Macaca mulatta: one gene and its partners. The protein of the gene in region 1 purifies or fractionates together with the protein of each later gene. This does not show direct contact. Links are inferred from orthologs where the notes say so. Each region holds a gene or a part of one and is shown on either strand. Other genes may lie near its edges.

What was found.
Region 2: the proteins of TMEM259 (region 1) and ERLIN2 purify together in Homo sapiens (affinity purification with mass spectrometry; 3 studies listed by BioGRID and IntAct, with this or other methods). This does not show direct contact. The link is inferred for Macaca mulatta from reciprocal best matches to the Homo sapiens genes TMEM259 and ERLIN2.
Region 3: the proteins of TMEM259 (region 1) and RNF185 purify together in Homo sapiens (affinity purification with mass spectrometry; 3 studies listed by BioGRID and IntAct, counting the BioPlex papers as one, with this or other methods). This does not show direct contact. The link is inferred for Macaca mulatta from reciprocal best matches to the Homo sapiens genes TMEM259 and RNF185.
Region 4: the proteins of TMEM259 (region 1) and TMUB1 purify together in Homo sapiens (affinity purification with mass spectrometry; 3 studies listed by BioGRID, with this or other methods). This does not show direct contact. The link is inferred for Macaca mulatta from reciprocal best matches to the Homo sapiens genes TMEM259 and TMUB1.

What each region holds. Positions count from the first base shown.
Region 1 is NC_133424.1:1,680,339-1,684,886, reverse strand, and holds the start of TMEM259 (membralin), read left to right. Parts: upstream 1-1,715; 5' UTR 1,716-1,861; coding exon 1,862-2,086; exon of another isoform or gene 2,087-2,808; intron 2,809-2,933; exon of another isoform or gene 2,934-4,548. UniProt on the Homo sapiens protein: May have a role in the ERAD pathway required for clearance of misfolded proteins in the endoplasmic reticulum (ER). Promotes survival of motor neurons, probably by protecting against ER stress.
Region 2 is NC_133413.1:39,669,525-39,673,385, reverse strand, and holds part of ERLIN2 (erlin-2 precursor), read right to left. Parts: intron 2,302-3,861; coding exon 2,240-2,301; intron 2,086-2,239; coding exon 1,960-2,085; intron 1-1,959. UniProt on the Homo sapiens protein: Component of the ERLIN1/ERLIN2 complex which mediates the endoplasmic reticulum-associated degradation (ERAD) of inositol 1,4,5-trisphosphate receptors (IP3Rs) such as ITPR1.
Region 3 is NC_133415.1:20,360,966-20,365,437, reverse strand, and holds the start of RNF185 (E3 ubiquitin-protein ligase RNF185), read left to right. Parts: upstream 1-1,541; 5' UTR 1,542-1,643; intron 1,644-1,720; exon of another isoform or gene 1,721-2,024; intron 2,025-2,759; 5' UTR 2,760-2,872; coding exon 2,873-2,904; exon of another isoform or gene 2,905-2,912; intron 2,913-4,472. UniProt on the Homo sapiens protein: E3 ubiquitin-protein ligase that regulates selective mitochondrial autophagy by mediating 'Lys-63'-linked polyubiquitination of BNIP1.
Region 4 is NC_133408.1:190,518,047-190,522,358, forward strand, and holds the start of TMUB1 (transmembrane and ubiquitin-like domain-containing protein 1), read right to left. Parts: upstream 3,095-4,312; 5' UTR 3,070-3,094; intron 301-3,069; coding exon of another isoform or gene 1-300. UniProt on the Homo sapiens protein: Involved in sterol-regulated ubiquitination and degradation of HMG-CoA reductase HMGCR. Involved in positive regulation of AMPA-selective glutamate receptor GRIA2 recycling to the cell surface.

The DNA of each region.
Region 1 (4,548 bases):
CCGTCTCAAAAAAAAAAAAAAAAAATTAGCTGAGAATGATGATGCATGCCTGTAATCCCAGCTACTTGGGAGGCTGAGGTGGGAGGATTGCTTGAGCCCAGGAGGTGGAGGCTGCAGTGAGCCATGATCATATCCCTACACTCCAGCTTGGGTGACTGAGTGAGACCTTGTCTCTAAAAAATAAAAATTAACAGGTCAGGCGCCATGGCTCACGCCTGTAATCCCAGCACTTTGGGAGGCCGAGACTGGCGGATCACGAGGTCAGCAGATGGAGACCATCCTGGCTAACACAGTGAAACCCCTTCTCTGCCAGGTGGGGTGGCTCACGCCTGTAACCCCAGCACTTTGGGAGGCCGAGGCAGGTGGATCACGAGGTCAGGAGTTCAACCCTGTCTCTACTAAAAATATAAAACAATTAGCTGGGCGTGGTGGCGGGCGCCCGTAATCCCAGCTATTCAGGAGGCTGAGGCCGAGAATTGCTTGAACCCAAGAGGCGGAGGTTGCAGTGAGCCAAGATCACGCCACTGCACTCCAGCCTGGGCGGCAGTGAGACTCTGTGTCAAAACAAACAAACAAAAACCAAAACTTTTTTTTGGGTGGGCTTGGTGGGTCACACCTGTAATCCCAGCACTTTGGGAGGCTGACGCTGGCAGATTGCTTGAGCTCAAGAGTTCAGACCATAGGCAACATGGATCTACAAAAAACCCTGTCTAGACCGGGCGTTGTGGCTCATTCCTGTAATCCCAGCACTTTGGGAGGCTGAGGCGGGCAGATCACCTAAGGTTGGGAGTTCGAGACCAGCCTCACCAACATGGAGCAACCCAGTCTCTACCAAAAATACAAAATGAGCTGGGCGCGGTGGCGCATGCCTGTAATCCCAGCTACTTGGGAGGCTGAGGCAGGAGAATCGCTTGAACCCGGGAGGCGGAGGTTGCAGAGAGCCGAGATCGCGCTTCTGCACTCCAGCCTGGGTGACGGAGCGAGAATCCGTCTCAAACAAAAAAAACCCAAAAACAGAAACCGTAGTATCCTCTTATGTAGGCAGGAGGGACTCAATACGTGCCCCTGAAGAGCATTTACTTACTGTTGCCCGAGGGCTACAGGGGCAGGTGCTTGAGTGGGGACGGCCAGATTGTCCTATCGCCAACCTCTGGTGCCAGGGGAGATGGACATCCGGGGAGTCCGGGGAAGGGAAGCAAAACGAGCTGACCAGCTGCGGACTATAAGCAAAAATATGGAACGCTTCACGAATTTGCGTGTCATCCTTGCGCAGGGGCCATGCTAATCTTCTCTGTATCGTTCCAATTTTAGTATATGTGCTGCCGAAGCGAGCACGACTCAAAAGTTCCAGCTACGGTTATTTAAAGGCCTTCAAACTAATTACCTTACAGTTAGGAGAACTTATGGTCAGTCTTATGTTTAGCATAACTTCCTACAGTTGTATATTGCCAAATAAATTCTCTGCTTGCACTTACTTTGAGTGTCTTCCGTCACGCAAAATCCCATATTTTATCAAAATTTTACCGTCTTATACTGGCCTCCTAGACGCGGTGGATTGTGGGTGCAATATGCAAAAGTGGTGGGCCGGATGTAGCCTCGCCCCCTGGCGCAGGCCAGGGCGGGGATGAAGCTTCCCCGGGCGGCCGCTGGTATCCCAGCGTTCCCTGCAGGCGCAGGGGGGCCGCTCTTGCCCGGCGTGGCGACTCGCTAGCGTCAGCAGGGCCGCAGCAGGACGAGGAGGCGGAAGATGGCGGCAGCGGCCGGGCGGCCGTAAGGAGCGCGGCGGCGGTAAGGGCGGCCGATGGCGGCCGGGAGGCGCCCTCGGACACCTGCGGGCCGTTAGGGCGCGACGCTGGGCGGCATGTCGGAGCACGCGGCGCCCGGAGCTCCGGGGCCCGGGCCCAACGGCGGCGGCGGCGGCCCGGCCCCTGCGCGCGGGCCTCGCACCCCCAACCTCAACCCCAACCCCCTCATCAACGTGCGCGACCGGCTGTTCCACGCGCTGTTCTTCAAGATGGCTGTCACCTATTCGCGGCTCTTCCCGCCCGCCTTCCGCCGTCTCTTCGAGTTCTTCGTGTTGCTCAAGGTGACCGCGGCGCCGACCCCCGACCCTTGACCCCAGCGCCCGGCCTGACCCCCATGTCTGCGACCTGCGACTGCGGCCCCTGGCCTCGCTGGGGACACCGAGCGCCACCCTGCACCCCGAGGCCTAGATCCGACCCTACCGGTTAGGGTCCTCCCTCGCGACCTCTGACCCTGGGATTGGCCAGGGACACCGTCTCGTGACCCCATCCCGCCCGGGGACGTACACCCGGGAAGGCCGGTTGCCACTGCACTAGAAGCCGCTGTTCTCTGGAAACCTCCATCTCAGCCCCCTCCAGGGACCATCCTGTCCCCGGCGACCGCCTTTCCCAGGTCCCTATCTACCCAGGCTTGGAGCCCGGTCCTGGCCTGCGACGGAGCACCTCCCGCCCTTTGACCCCTGACTCTGCCGCCTGTGACCCTCAGTCCCCAGGCCTCTTTCCACTCCCCGTGTGCTGGCCCAGAACCCAGTCTGACCCAGGGCTCCCTTGGACCAGCCCCAGTCCTGGAAGTCCACTCCCCACTCTTCCTCCTGGTGGGGCTCTCTCCCTCCTTGTAGGCTTCCACCTGCCCCCACCTCGTTCCCCTCTCCTGAGCCTCAGGAGAATGTGACTTAGCTGAGGTCACCTCCCTAGGGTTAGCGGCAAAGTCACCGGCAGCAGCGTTCCAGCCCATCCCCGGCCTCCTCCGCTTGGTCCCCATCCCCTTCCTGACCCAGGAGTTCAGGTCTGTCTCCCGTGCCTCCTGTATGAGGCACCGACCTCTGCGTCTTGGCCTCTGTCCCCCTCCTGCCCTTCTCAGATGGCACAGAGGTCTCAGCCATGCAGGACTGGCCTGAGTCCCTCTGAGAAGGAGTCTGTCTTGGGTGACAGGAGGGGCTCAGCAGCAGGTGCAGCCACTCAGAAAACAAGTTGGCCGGGGTCCTGGACCACCTGGGGAAATGGAGACATGGCCGTTTTTGTTTTGCATCAGAACACCGCAGTGCTGGGGCTTGGGGGGTGCTGAACTTGCGCCGTGAGCTTTTTGGAGCTAGTCTGCAGAGAGGGGGCTGACTCTGGCGGGCCAGGCCTGTTGGTCAGGAGCCGGCTGCTCTTTTGGGCTCAGCAGGTGGAGCTGGAGCTTGGCCGTCCTGCAGACCTGCGTGTGGGTCCCAGCCTACCGCCGCCTCAAGGGAGGCCCCTTAGCCTCCAGATCTGTGGCCTCCCCAGGCCAGAGCTCAGCCCGTCATCCTTCCCACCTTCTTCCTCCCTGCAGCCCCCCAGAGTGGCGTGGTTGCCTCTGGGCATCAGAGCAGGACTGTGAAGGGTTACTCGGGCAGGCGGCCTTTCCCTGCTCTGGGGTCCACAGACGGGACCTGAAACTGTGGACGGAGGCTGGTCTGTGGACGTGGGTTTTCCTTCCATGGAGTAGCCTGGGTCCAGGATGGAGCCGCTCTGTCCTTAGCTTTGTGGAGGATGTGTGCTGGGTGCCAGGCCAGGTGCCCCCGACAGAGCTCAGCCTCCCTGGGAGGTGCATCCCTGTTGCCTGGGCTTCCGTCCCACCACGTCCCAGTTTGGAAAGGGATCAAGCCTACCCAACTCTATCTCCAGGCAGGTGCCACTCACAGGTGGTCAGATGGGGCTGGGCCAGAGCTGGAGGTCCCCCCTCTCCTGTGGAGGGTGGAGATTCTGGGGAGGTTCTTAGCGCCCCCCATCCCTCCTCTCTCAGCAGGGGGCTCTGGGCTGCGAGATCTCTGGGTGGTGATTTTTTTTTTTTTTTTTGAGATGGAGTCTTGCTCTGTCGCCCAGGCTGGAATGCAGTGGCTCAATCTCGGCTCACTGCAACCTCCACCTCCTGGGTTCCAGCAATAATTCTGCCTCAGCCTCCCGAGTAGCTGGGACTACAGGCGCCCGCCACCACAACCAGCTACTTTTTTTGTATTTTTGGTAGACATGGGTTTTGCCATGTTGGCCAGGCTGGTCTCAAAACTGATTTCAGGCGACCCGCCCACCTTGGCCTCCAGAAATGCTGGGATTACAGGTGTGAGCCCCCGTGCCCGGCCTGGGTGGGGAAATCGGTTCGTTGTGAATTCTCCACCGGGTAATCTGGTGGTTCAGAATCTGACCTTGCCGCCTTCACTTTTACTTATCTGCAAAGTGCAGGCTAGGACTGGCTCTCAGAGGCTGCCTTGAATTCCAGAAGGCTCTTCTGCTTCCTGCCCACCCGGCTTCCGGGGCTCTCCCTGCAGAGAGCCAGGTCCTCCCTGGTGCGGTCCCTTCAAGGTTTCTTCATTCTGTGGCCCCTGTGCCCCTGAGCTCCCAGCCCTGAGCTGGCATGGAGCCCCCCGGCCCTCCCCCATGCCTGGGTGGCTTCACGAAATGCCAGGAGCTCCCAGCCCTGAGCCAGCACGAGGCCCCTCAGCCCCTCACCCTTGCCTGGGTGGTTTTAGGAAATGCCAGGCAGTACCAGGTGCTGGGGAGAGAAGAG
Region 2 (3,861 bases), on another chromosome or scaffold:
ACAAGCAGCTGTACTTCACTAAGCTACCAACTTTAGCCGTAAGAAAGTAAGTTTTCTAATGAAAAACAAGTTTGTATTTTAATTTTCTCTCCAGGGACATTGGGGATCCTTGGTCTTTTGTTTCAGTGCTTTGAAATGTTCATGTAATGGCACAAGCCCTAAGACAATGGCTAGAGAGAATTAATATTTTATACAATTCTATTAGTTTGAGGTTAAAAAAAAATCAATGGCAAATTTACCAACTTTTTCTTTTTTTTTTTTTTTTTGAGACGGAGTCTTGCTCTGTCGCCCAGGCTGGAGTGCAGTGGCCGGATCTCAGCTCACTGCAAGCTCTGCCTCCCAGGTTTACGCCATTCTCCTGCCTCAGCCTCCCAAGTAGCTGGGACTACAGGCGCCCGCCACCTCGCCCGGCTAGTTTTTTGTATTTTTTAGTAGAGACGGGGTTTCACCGGGTTAGCCAGGAGGGTCTCGATCTCCTGACCTTGTGATCCGCCCGTCTCGGCCTCCCAAAGTGCTGGGATTACAGGCTTGAGCCACCGCGCCCGGCCCAACTTTTTCTTAAAAGCACACTGAATCCCAAACCGATAAAAGACTACAAACCCTATAAAATGAATTTAGATTCATTTTCTACTGCAGAAACATTAAAAGTAATTTGGATGATTTCCTAAATCTTAAATGGTGCAAAAGGTGGTTTGCTTAATTATGATTGTTGGCGATGTGGATGATTCCTCCTGTCTGCTATGAAAAATGTTCTCGCTCAGGGTCCCTTTTATGAAGATTCCTGGGAAAAATCATTTTCCAGTCCTAGTGTCAAGAATAGTTATACTTGGTTAAAAATTCATTTACTTTTGGCATTGGCTATTAGAGAATTTCTGGCAGTGAGTTTAAACAGAATAGTTGACTGCAAACAGGTTGTAACAGTTACCCAACTGTGTCCTTCCTTTGCTGCTAAGTCAGGTTGCCTTTATTTTGAAAAAGGTAAAAAGGACAAAGGCCGGGCGCAGTGGCTCAAGCCTGTAATCCCAGCACTTTGGGAGGCCGAGACGGGCGGATCACGAGGTCAGAAGATTGAGACCATCCTAACACAGTGAAACCCCATCTCTACTAAAAAATACAAAAAAAAACCTAGCTGGGCAAGGTGGCGGGCGCCTGTAGTCCCAGCTACTCGGGAGGCTGAGGCAGGAGAATGGCGTAAACCCAGGAGGTGGAGCTTGCAGTGAGCTGAGATTGCGCCACTGCACTCCAGCCTGGGCGACAGAGCAAGACTCTGTCTCAAAAAAAAAAAATAAGTACAAAACATATCTACTTAGGCACGTGGAGTCTTTTTGTTTAAAGTGTTTTTCTATTTGTCACTACAGGTACAGAGTAAAAAAATAATAATCACAAAGGTTCTGGGAACTGGAAGGAACTATGGTTCTCATCACACTTCTAGAATTAGGAATCATGTCTTTTTCATCACCCATTCCTGGGGGCCCTCCATTCAGTGTGGCATGGTGAGAGGAATGCTGAAGAGCCAGGAGAGGAAAGCTCCTGTTTCAGCTCCACTACTAACTGGCACCTGGCTCTGCGACTTTCTCGCTTTGGGTCACGGTACCCTCATCTTAAAATGAGGATGCTGGGCTGGAAAATCTCTGCAGTTCTTCTAGAATGGATCTTGTCTTCATTACTGAATGACAGTTTAGGGACAGTGGAAACACATTTCCACTCCAGCATCTGATTGAGGCCAGAAGTGAATACTCTACTCCACTACGATCCCTGTGCCCAAAGCTCCAGCCCTCTAAGGATCTTGTTGCATTGCCATCAGCACTCTCCAGGAATTCCTTTGTGACCAGCTCCTGAGCACGAGATTCTTTAACATTTCCTGTCCCTAAGTGCCCATCACACCCTGCAGGCAGCCAGGCACTAGGCAGTGGAGACACATGGGCTTAAGCATGGCACGCTCAGGAGAGACTTTCTTACCAAACAGCTCAATGTAGACCTCTTGAAGTGTGTGCACACTGCAGAACTGGTTCAGTTCGTGGTGGATCTTGTTGAAGATGAGGGCCTTGTCATAGTCGGCAGTATAGTTCTTCACTATATCATACACTGAGAGGGAAGGAGAGGGCTTGGCATAAGAAAAGGCAAGACTCAAAATGCCCTCAGACACAGCAGCTCTCCTTTTCCGAGGTGCTACAACAGACACGGGAGTGGCATGCTGGGGAAAGTGAGCTGGTGGTGGGAATAAACTGTTAAGACGTACCTGCGTTTGGGACCAGGAAGTTCACCACTTCAATTCTGTCAAAGTAGATCATCACACCACCACTATTGGAGGGAGAATGGACAAGAAGTCACTGGGAAGCTCTGGGATATGGTGCAGTCCCCCAGGGCGATGGTGTAAGATGTGGGCTTGGCAGAAAAGGAGTAGAAGAGTTCACAGGAGGTTGTAAGGCAGCTTGGATCTCCAAGCAGGAGGTTCTGCAGGGCTCATGGCAACAACATACTCTCCTGAGAAATCACACTGCCTAGGAACATCTCTACAAAGACACGAGTGAGACTTTTGGGGAACAGTATGAAAGAGTAACTCATATCTTTGGAATCAGCAATGCCTTTTGATTAATCAGTTGCACAGAAAAGACTAAGGAGGGTCAAGGTGAAGTTTTTAGAACTTACAAGGTTACTATGGAATGTTATGGTCAATGTTTCTTAAACTGTCTTCACTATTACTTTAGTGTCACACTCCCTTTGCCCTCAAATGTTTATTATAAAAAGATTTCAAACATAGAGAAGCTGAAAGAATAGTACAACTAACATCCATATCCAGACACCTGAGTTCAACACTGATAACATTTTACCTTATTTATTGGCCTTTTTTTTTTTCTAAACATTTCAAAGTAAGCTGCAGTTAGGATACTTTATTCCTTTACTTTGGCGAGCATGGTCTAAAATGATCATTCTCCTACACACTCATTATATCATTCTCAAGCCTAAGAAAATTAGCAGTAATTCTGTAATATCACCTAATACCCAGTCCCTATTCAGATTTCCCCAACAGTTTGTGTTATGGACTGAACTGTGTATGCCTCGCCCCCGGATTCATATGTTGAAGACCTAACCCCCAATGTGACTGTATTTGGAGATTAGACCTTTAAGAAGGTAATTAAGGTTAAACAGGTTATAAGGATGGGCTGTGATCCAACAGGTCTGGTATCCACCAGACACCTTTTTCTCTCTTCTTGCACACAAGAGGAAAGGCCTTGTGAGGACATGACAAAAAGGTGGTCACCTGCAAGCCAGGAAGAGAGGTCTCACCAAAACTACCCCTGCTGTTACCCTGATCTTGGACTTTGGGCCTTCAGAATGGTGAGACAATATCTATTATTTTAGTCCCTTGGTGTGTGGTCCTCTGTCATGGCAGCCTGAGTGGACTCACACAGTTCCCATTGTATCTTTTATAGCTGTTAATTTTGAACCGGGTTCTAATCAATGCTCACCCTTGCTTCTGTTTATGTCTCTTGTAAGTCTCCATTCAATCCAGCATCCCTCTAAATACGACCACTTTGTGAAGAGATCAGGCCTGTGATCTTGTGGGATGTTCCAATTCCGGATTTGTCAGAGTGTTTCTCTGTGGTATTCTTTGTTACTCTATCCCAGTTTAAACTCTCTTTGCTTTCCAGTGGGACTGCTATAGTAATGTTCTCTTCGGATCTCTTTGCCCTGAAGGTCTCCCCTAACTTTATGACATTCTCCTTAGTTATGCAAAAGTTATCTTCTTGTATCAGGTCATTTATCTGCTAAAAACCTTTGTGCGTCCTCACTTCTTTTTTTTGTTTTTAACATTAAAATTTTATTTTTTTTCCTGACATTTAAGTTCAGAGGTACATG
Region 3 (4,472 bases), on another chromosome or scaffold:
CCGTTTGTTCTGCTAGGTTACACCTCTGTAACATCACCGTTTTCCCTTTGTAAATCAATAGGTAATTTGTGGGAGACACTTTTACTGTTTTAAACATCCCATTTCTATAGTTCTACCACACATTATTGATTTTCTAATTCCACCATGTTTTGTCATACCCTACCTTGTTTTAACCTGATGGTCTCTCTTAGCTGAGAGAGCCAGACAGACTCCATTTTAGTTCCTTCACTTACAGCCCCTTTACCTCCCTCCCTTAAGGGCATAACTAGAGTAAACTGACTCAAAGCATGTCCAGAAATGCACTTACTGATAAGATACTGAGGCAAGCTGCACCAGCAGCTCCTGGGGATGCGCTCCCTGGATGGCACCCAAAGCCCCTGCATTTCTCTCTTTGTGATAGTTTAAGCCCCTGCACCTCGAACTGTTTATTTTTTTGTAACTGCTTTTGTAACCAATTAATTTTTTAACTTTTTGCCAGTTCTGCTTCTGTAAAATTTTTAGTAGAGACAGGGTAAAAATTGCTTCAGCTAAACTCCCCCCTCCCCTATTTAGACCACGGTATAAAAACAAAACTAGCCCCTTCCTCGGGGCCGAGAGAATTTCGAGCGTTAGCCGTCTCTCGGTCACCGGCTAATAAAGGACTCCTGAATTTAGCTGTCTCTCGGTCGCCGGCTAATAAAGGACTTCTGAATTCGTCTCAAAGTGTGGCATTTCTCTCTAACTCACTCGGTTACAACAGTTTATTAGTTGGCATTCTACTAAAAGGAAGACTTTCCCTTCACCCATTAATATACTCACTTCTTTATGTCTGTAAAGACTCATGGATTACTATTTTATTCAATTAGTTATACTGTATTACTATTACTCCATATTTTGATTCTGAAATTGCCCTGACTTGGCCAGTGGGATCTCTTTAAAGACAGCTCCTGTGTTCTTTGACATATTCCCATGATTCTTATTACCATCATCCTTATATTCTGGTGTAACAAGATGTTCCAAGTTTATCTGGTACTTTCCGGAATGTTTTCTTCCTTTCTCTTTCTTTTTTTCTTTTTGAGACGGAGTCTCGCTCTGTCGCCCAGGCTAGAGTGCAGTGGTGCGATCTCAGCTCACTGCAATCTCCGCCTCCCGGGTTCAAGTGGTTCTCCTGCCTCAGCCTCCCAAGTAGCTGGGATTACAGATGTGCGCCACCACGACCGGCTAATTTTTGTATTTTTAGTACAGAGGGGTTTCACCATGTTGGCCAGGCTGGTCTCGAACTCCTGACCTCATGTGATCCATCCTGCCTCGGCCTCCCAAAGTGCTGGGATTACAGGTGGGAGTCACTGCGCCCGGTCGGAAATCAGTTTTTTTCTTTCAGGAGCCCCGAACCCAAGTTCTTTGAAAAGCTGCCAAAGAGCTCCAGGGTTCCTCCGCTTCCTGCCCGCAGGCGGAACCTTAGAGTTTAGGACATGGAGATAAACCTCTTCCGGTTGGGGCCGGAAGTCCCTCCGAGAGAGGCGGCTTCGCGTCATGTGACTGGAGTCCGCGTAGGAGGGGTCAGAGGTCCTACCCAACAGATTGACGCGGCGATAGTATTGGCCGTGTAGCCGAAAAACTGATTGACTGGGCGGCCTCCCACGGCGTTAACTGCGCAGAGGCAGGTATGTGAGGGGCTGGGGTTGGGGCGGGGACCGCCAAGGTTTAGGGACGGGGGCGGGAGACCCGGGTCCGCCTTCCCGGGACACACGGGCTTCAACATCTGAGCCCAGGGGCCCAGAGACAGCAAGACCGGTGGTGCCTCTGGTCCCCGAAAAGAGGACGGGCTGGCGTTGTGGTTCTGCGTCCCGTGATTACAGATTGGGGAAACTGAGGCCTTGAGAAAGAGAAGAGCTCCCACAAGCTCTCCTTTCGAGGCATGGGCACTGATTCCCATTCTGTCCCCCGTGCGAGGCCGCCTGTATCATCTGGGAGTGCATTTCACGAGTTTGCCCTGAGTGGAGAAGCAGAGGCCGGGGAGCGCGGTGAACAGAGTTGGGCTGAGAGTAAGAGACCTGGATTCGAGACTTCTCCACCGACAATTTTGCGTTCTGGGCCAAATCTCTTTCCTGTGCTGGGCCTCAGTTTCCTCGTGTCTAAAACGGGGCAGTGTTTCTCAAAATATGGTTCTTACACCATCTGCTTTGAAGTGCCGGCTTTACAGTGCGGGACTCACTTCAGACTTCTGGTTTAGAATCTGAACTTATGCCTAGGAGGGTCCTGTATATACTGATGTTTGAATCTCATTGATTTTAAGTGCTTTCCTGCTGTGAGCACTAGATATCCATTCTTCGCTTTGAGGCAGCTGGTGCCAGGTCAGGAACTTTGAAAGAACTGGAATGGTTAGCTCAGTAAAGACAGCACTGGAAGGGAATTAACTTTTTAAAAATTGAAAATAGGCCGGGCGCGGTGGCTCAAGCCTGTAATCCCAGCACTTTGGGAGGCCTAGACGGGCGGATCACGAGGTCAGGAGATCGAGACCATCCTGGCTAACACGGTGAAACCCCGTCTCTACTAAAAAATAGAAAAAACTAGCCGGGCGAGGTGGCGGGCGCCTGTAGTCCCAGCTACTGGGGAGGCTGAGGCAGGAGAATGGCGGGAACCCGGGAGGCGGAGCTTGCAGTGAGCCGAGATCACGCCACTGCACTCCAGCCTGGGCGACAGAGCGAGACTCCGTCTCAAACAAAAAAAAAAATTGAAAATATTGTTAATGGCAAAGGGGACTTCCACTTCATCTTTAGGCTAAAAGAGGCAGAACTAGGACTAACAGGTGAATTCTACAAGAAGACAAGATTTTTGCTTAATAGAAGAACTTAAATGGAAGAATCATCAGAGTTGACCAGCGATGGAGTGAATGGATTGCCTCCGTGCCTCCTTTCGAGAGAGGTATATAGGTATTAGATGAAGGTCCTTTCCAATTTGAAAGTCTGTGATTCTAAGGAGTTGTTCTGCATCTATCTGGTGCTGACTCTGCCCTTAGGGCAAATGTGACTTTTTTCTTCTCTCTTTTCTTGACACTTCCATCACTTTAGCCTACATCTCCTGTAAATAAGGCCAATGCCTCTGACCTTACGTAATCTCTTCCTGGTTGTCCTGGGCCCCATCCTTCTTTTCAAGGACTTTGATTTGATAGACGCACCTTAAATGTTTGTTGAATGAATAAGTAAACTGGGTCCCACCCCATGGGTTAGTAGCTTTTTTCTAAGAACAACTTGGAAATGCCTCTGAAGATTTTATGTTTGACCAGGAGAAGCCAGTGAACTCTCAGTCACAAAATTGAGGACTCCCAGTTGGGAGGACCCCTTGAGGTTGTTCAGACCAGCCTTCTCCTCCCTGAAACATAATCCCTGCTTGAATCCTCTCTTCAGCAATATGTGTATACATGTGAGAGAGTTTTTGCAGTCTGTTGGCTAGCTTTCCGTGCATCATATAAAAACAGTCCTCTTATAGACTTGACTTGCCAGTTCGCACACACCACCAGTTCCAGCTAATTTTGTGTGTGTGTGTGTGTGTGTATTTTTTTTTTTTTTTTTTTTGAGACGGAGTCTCGCTCTGCCGCCCAGGCTGGAGTGCAGTGGCCGGATCTCAGCTCACTGCAAGCTCCGCCTCCCGGGTTCACGCCATTCTCCTGCCTCAGCCTCCCCAGTAGCTGGGACTACAGGCGCCCGCCACCTCGCCCAGCTAGTTTTTTTTTTTTTGTATTTCTTAGTAGAGACGGGGTTTCACTGTGTCAGCCAGGATGGTCTCGATCTCCTGACCTCGTGATCCGCCCGCCTCGGCCTCCCAAAGTGCTGGGATTACAGGCTTGAGCCACCGCGCCCGGCCGTGTGTGTGTATTTAGTAGAGATGGGGTTTCACCATGTTGACCAGGCTGGTCTCGAACTCCTGACCTCAAGTGATCCGCCTGCCTCAGCCTCCCAAAGTGCTGGGATTACAGGTGTGAGCCACTGTGCCTGGCCTCTAGCATACCTTTAGTTTTCTAATCAAACATTATTATGTCCTTATTTTGTGCATTACAGAGCTCGCCTAAGTCACTTTTTCAACACCTGCTAGAATGCTTAGGAATGTTTATGTTATCTTAGGGAGCAGAGGCTCCATATTATGACCCAGTTCTGCTGACTTGCTCCCCTGCCCCCACAAAAAAAAGGTTAGGGTTGAGCCAAAACTTCCTGCCAGTGTTTATCGACTTGTATTTCCCAAGATTAAAAAATAAAAAAGTTGTGAAATGCTTATTCAGATCTTATCCAGGTACTGGGTAAAATGATCTTAATTTGTTGGAGTTTTTAGAACTTCTTGATCTAAAAGTTTCCTTTTAAAGAAGCATCTGAATTAACATTCTCATAAGTGTGTTCTTCAGGCCACTGGTCTGAAGAAATGGCTCTGAAAAAAGGATTTGATGCTAACAATAAGTTTGAGAAAGCCACATACCATTATTCTTTCTTGAAGCTTCTCAA
Region 4 (4,312 bases), on another chromosome or scaffold:
AGCAGCAGCAGAGCCTGGCGGCTCCGGGGGGCGGCGGCGGCGGCGGCGGCGGCAGCGCGGGGGGCGGCGGGCAGTTCGGCGGCGCGGGGCCCGGGGCCGGGGGCGGCGGCGTCCCCTCGCAGCAGCTGGCCGGCGGGCCCCCCCAGCAGTTCGCGCTCTCCAACTCCGCGGCCATCCGGGCCGAGATCCAGCGCTTCGAGTCCGTGCATCCCAATATCTACGCCATCTACGACCTGATCGAGCGCATCGAGGATTTGGCGCTGCAGAACCAGATCCGCGAGCACGTCATCTCCATCGAGGGTGAGCGAAGCCGGGGGCTGCGGGAGCAGGGGCGCGGTGGCCTCTCCGGCTCCGGTCGAGGGCTCCACGGGCCGGTCCTGGCTATGCTCTCCCTGTCGGGGGTCCTTGCGCGCTTGAGGTCCAGGCCACGAGGTTTGCCGATCTGTGCTGCAGAACCGGCGGGCAGCTTCGCCATATCTCGTTCGGGGACACTTTGGGGTTGGGGGTTTTCTGCTCACTGTGCTCCAGGGCGCGAAGGTGGTGTCGCTTCGGGGGGCCAGGACCAGATCTATCCAGGCCTGGCCGGGGAAGGTGGGCGCGGCAGAGGGCTTCAGCTGCCGGGAGGTGGGGCCGTGACCGGGGAGGCATCTTAGCCGCTGCCCGGGCCCTGCTCCGCAGTGGGGCGGGGGATCGGAGCCTCGCGTTAGTGGATGGCAGCCTTCCCTGGCCCAGCGCCCGCAGGCCCGGAGGGTGGCGCTCGCCGCGGCGCCCTCTCCCGACGCACACCCCCTACGCCGCGGCGGCCAAGCGGGCGCGGGCCGGGCCTGGCGCTGGGCTGCGGCGCCGCGACCGCGTGGGAGGCGCCGGCAGGTCCATCCGCGCCTTGGCCGGGTCGTGAGCGCGCCAGGGACCCGCGGCTCCTCGGTCTGGAGGCAGCCGCGGGGCAGCCGGGCGCTGACTGACCTCCAGGGACACCGCACCCGGAGTCGGGGACTGGAAATCCCCGGCCACTGCGCTGCCTAGCGCTTTTTTCTCTGGGCCCTTAGGCCCTGGACTTTCGACCATTGAGGGCACAGGAAGTAGGGGCACGCTGCTGGTAGATGGCTCGCAAGCCCTGGTGTGGTGGGTGCTGGCGGCACCCGCAATCAGGCCAGTGGCATGGTGACCTTCGAGCGGGCACGGACAGATGGGCCTCGCCCTGGGCCATCTGCTTCCTCCCCCAGCTCTGTTTGAAAGGGGACGCCCACCGGCAGGTGGTGGGTTTGGCCTCCGTGGAAATGCAGCGAGAGCCAAGGCCTTTTGCCATAACATGGAGTTGTGGGCAGGGGCCTGTTCCTGACTTGGGCCTTAAGGTTAGGGCCCCACTCCCAGCTTCATCTGCTTGCCTGAGGTTCTGGGGGGTAGTGCACCTGAACACCTCCCTTTCTACTTTCAGAGGCCCCCATAGCTGAGGAAGGAGTATTGGGTCTGGGGGGACCCCATGTAGTGCTGGGTCCTATCTTTTGTTGTGACATGGCAGTCTGACTTCCTTCTGCCTTTTCCCAACCGGTTCTTATTTCTTTCCTCTCAAGGCTGAGTTCTCTGTGAACTAATTAGGTGACAGAAAAATCTCATTAACGTGGATCTGAGTAAATGGCCTGAATCACCGCTGTAGCTGGGGACTAGGAGATGGCATTTGTGCGAGCCCTGGGCCCCACAGAGAGAAGATGACCAGTTTTTCCTCTTAGATCTGAAGAGGGTGGAGGCGGGAGAGACCGTTGCTGCAGCTTCACTGTCCTTGGAGGAAGTAAAGACATTCCTGATTTGCTCCAAGCTTGCCTTCCCCCAGCTCCTTCTGGAGGGCGACAAGCCTCGTGGGCTGGCCACAGGAGGGTGGGGGCACATCTGCTTCCGAGCTTTTCCCAGAGCAGGGACAGGTTTCCGGGCTCCCCAGCGCTCCAGCTTGATAAGCAGCGACCCCTCCTCCCCAGCTCAGGGGAGCCTCTGGTTGAGCATCTTTTGTGATGTGAAGGCTGTGATTCCTGGGGCGCCCTTGAGTTTTTTGCCTCGTCTTAAATTTAACACAACAGGCAGAATTTCCCCTCCTAGAGCCCTCCCCTGACCAACTTCTCCATTGCGGTTTGGAAATACCCCACGGTTCCAGCTACTAGGCCTGGAATCTCGGCCTCACCCTCGTGAAATCCTGGGAGCCGGTGTCTCATTGTCACCAGACCGACCCAGCTGCGGCTCACACATCCGTTCTCAGCCCTGCTGTTCCCACTCCTGGGCCCTGCTGCCCTGTTCTCCCTCCCTCCCCCCTGCCCAGCCTCTCCTGGCACCATCATCTTTATCCACCTCACCTCTCTTGCGTTCCCACTTTTCTGCTGTAGACAGTCTTCAAAAGAAAAAAAAAAACACTCCTTCTTCAATTTCTGCCCTATATCCTTCCTGCGATAGAACTCCTCTCCATCTGCCAAACCATATTGCTTCTGTCCTGCGAAGCCGCGTCCCCACCTTCTTTCTGCAAGGAGGGAGAGGCGCAGACTCCCTGGGCGTTTCTGAGCACACTCTGAGGCTGGACTGAGACTGAGCCCTCCACCCCCAGCCCCAGGGTCGAACAGACCTAGGCTGTTACATAAACACAGTGTCAGCTGGGAGCCAGCTCCTATGTTTCCTGGGGGTAAGCCTCTCCGTGGAAAGGGGCGGCATGTTCCGAGTGTATAACAAAGCCTCCCCCACTGTTTAGACTTCGGTGAAGGGTTTGTTTGTCCCAGCTCTGAAGGTGACGTGGGACCTGCGGTCAGGATCCATTCGGCTCTGAGGAAGTGCAGTGGGCACTTAGGCCTCCTGTAGTCTCTCTGCCACTCATAGTCACTTCTGACCCTGTGTCCAGGGCAGGAGGAAGCAGGGGATGTTTGGCTTTCCTGTGTTTCAGGACAGGATTTGAGGGGAGGGAGACCATTTTGAAAAGTTCCTTTCCCACCAGAGGCCAAGGAAAGAGGAAACCTGCCCATTACTTGGGCTGAGGGAGTGGAAGAAGTACCACCTTCAGCTGGGAGGGAGAGCTGGAGGGCTCACTATGTGCAGAACCTCTGAACTACCTTCACCTCACTAGTGGGGAAACTGAGGCTCAGAGAAGGAAGGGAGCCAAGCGGGTACAGCCAGAGAGAGTCTGGGCCTTCAACAGGAGCCCGCTTCCTGCTTGGCACTCACCTACAGAGAGCGCTCCCTGACAGCTTGGGTTTCCTGGCTGAGTCCTAGAAAGAAGGATGCAGGAGAACCAGGGCCTCAGTCCAAATGGGGACACTGGGCATGTGGAGTGCAGGAAGTTGGACCAAGCTAGCCAGGAGCCCCGAGAAGCTGTTGGGAGAAGCAGCCTGGGATCCAGCAGGTCCTGGGAAGGTCTGCTGGTCCCAGTCAGTGTGTGCAGGTGAGGGCCCCCGCACAGAGGAGGAGCAGGGGCTGGGGGAGGGGCTGGGGTCCCCTCTGGCAGTTCCGGAGGAGCTCCCCAGCTGGAAGTGGAGGTGGACCTATTAGGTGTGTGTGTGCCATATGGCTACTATTGTGTGTGCCGGAGCTGGGCTTTGTCAACTGGGTGACTTGCTCAAGTTTCTCCATTGTTTTCCCCCTAGGGCTTTTTTTTTTTTTTTTTTTTAAACAGTTACTTTGAGCATTCCAGCCAGCCTGGCCTGGCCACCAGAGGGTTCTCACTTACACCCTTACCCACTCACTTTCATTCAGTTCACAGATTGCCTGCCCTGGGCTGTGGGCTTGGTGACATCCTAAAGGGACTATGGTAAAGAGATGTGGTGGTTTCTTGTTTGGGTCAAGCCTCAGCTAGACAGAGAAGGGGCCACAGCTGTGACCACAGTTGGGTGGCAGCTCAGATGGAGAGTAAGATGGTGCACATGGCAGGGCGCGGTGGCTCACGCCTGTAATCCAAACATTTTGGGAGGCCGAGGTGGGCGGATTGCGAGGTCAGGAGATTGAGACCATCCTGACCTAACACGATGAAACCCCGTCTCTACTAAAAATGCAAAAAATTAGCCGGGCGTGGTGGCGGGAGCCTGTAGTCTCAGCTACTCGGAAGGCTGAGGCAGGAGAATGGCGTGAACCTGGGAGGTGGAGCTTGCAGTGAGTCGAGATCGCACCACTGTGCTCCAGCCTGGACAACAGAGTGAGACTCCATCTCAAAAGAAAAAAAAAAAAAAACGGCACACGCCCTGGCAGCCCGCAGCCCTCAGCCCTTAAGCACACCTGGGGTTTTAGTGTTTGTGTCTGTTTCTGTTTGTCATGTGACTTGATCCTGGAGGACTGGCATGATGATCCCTGT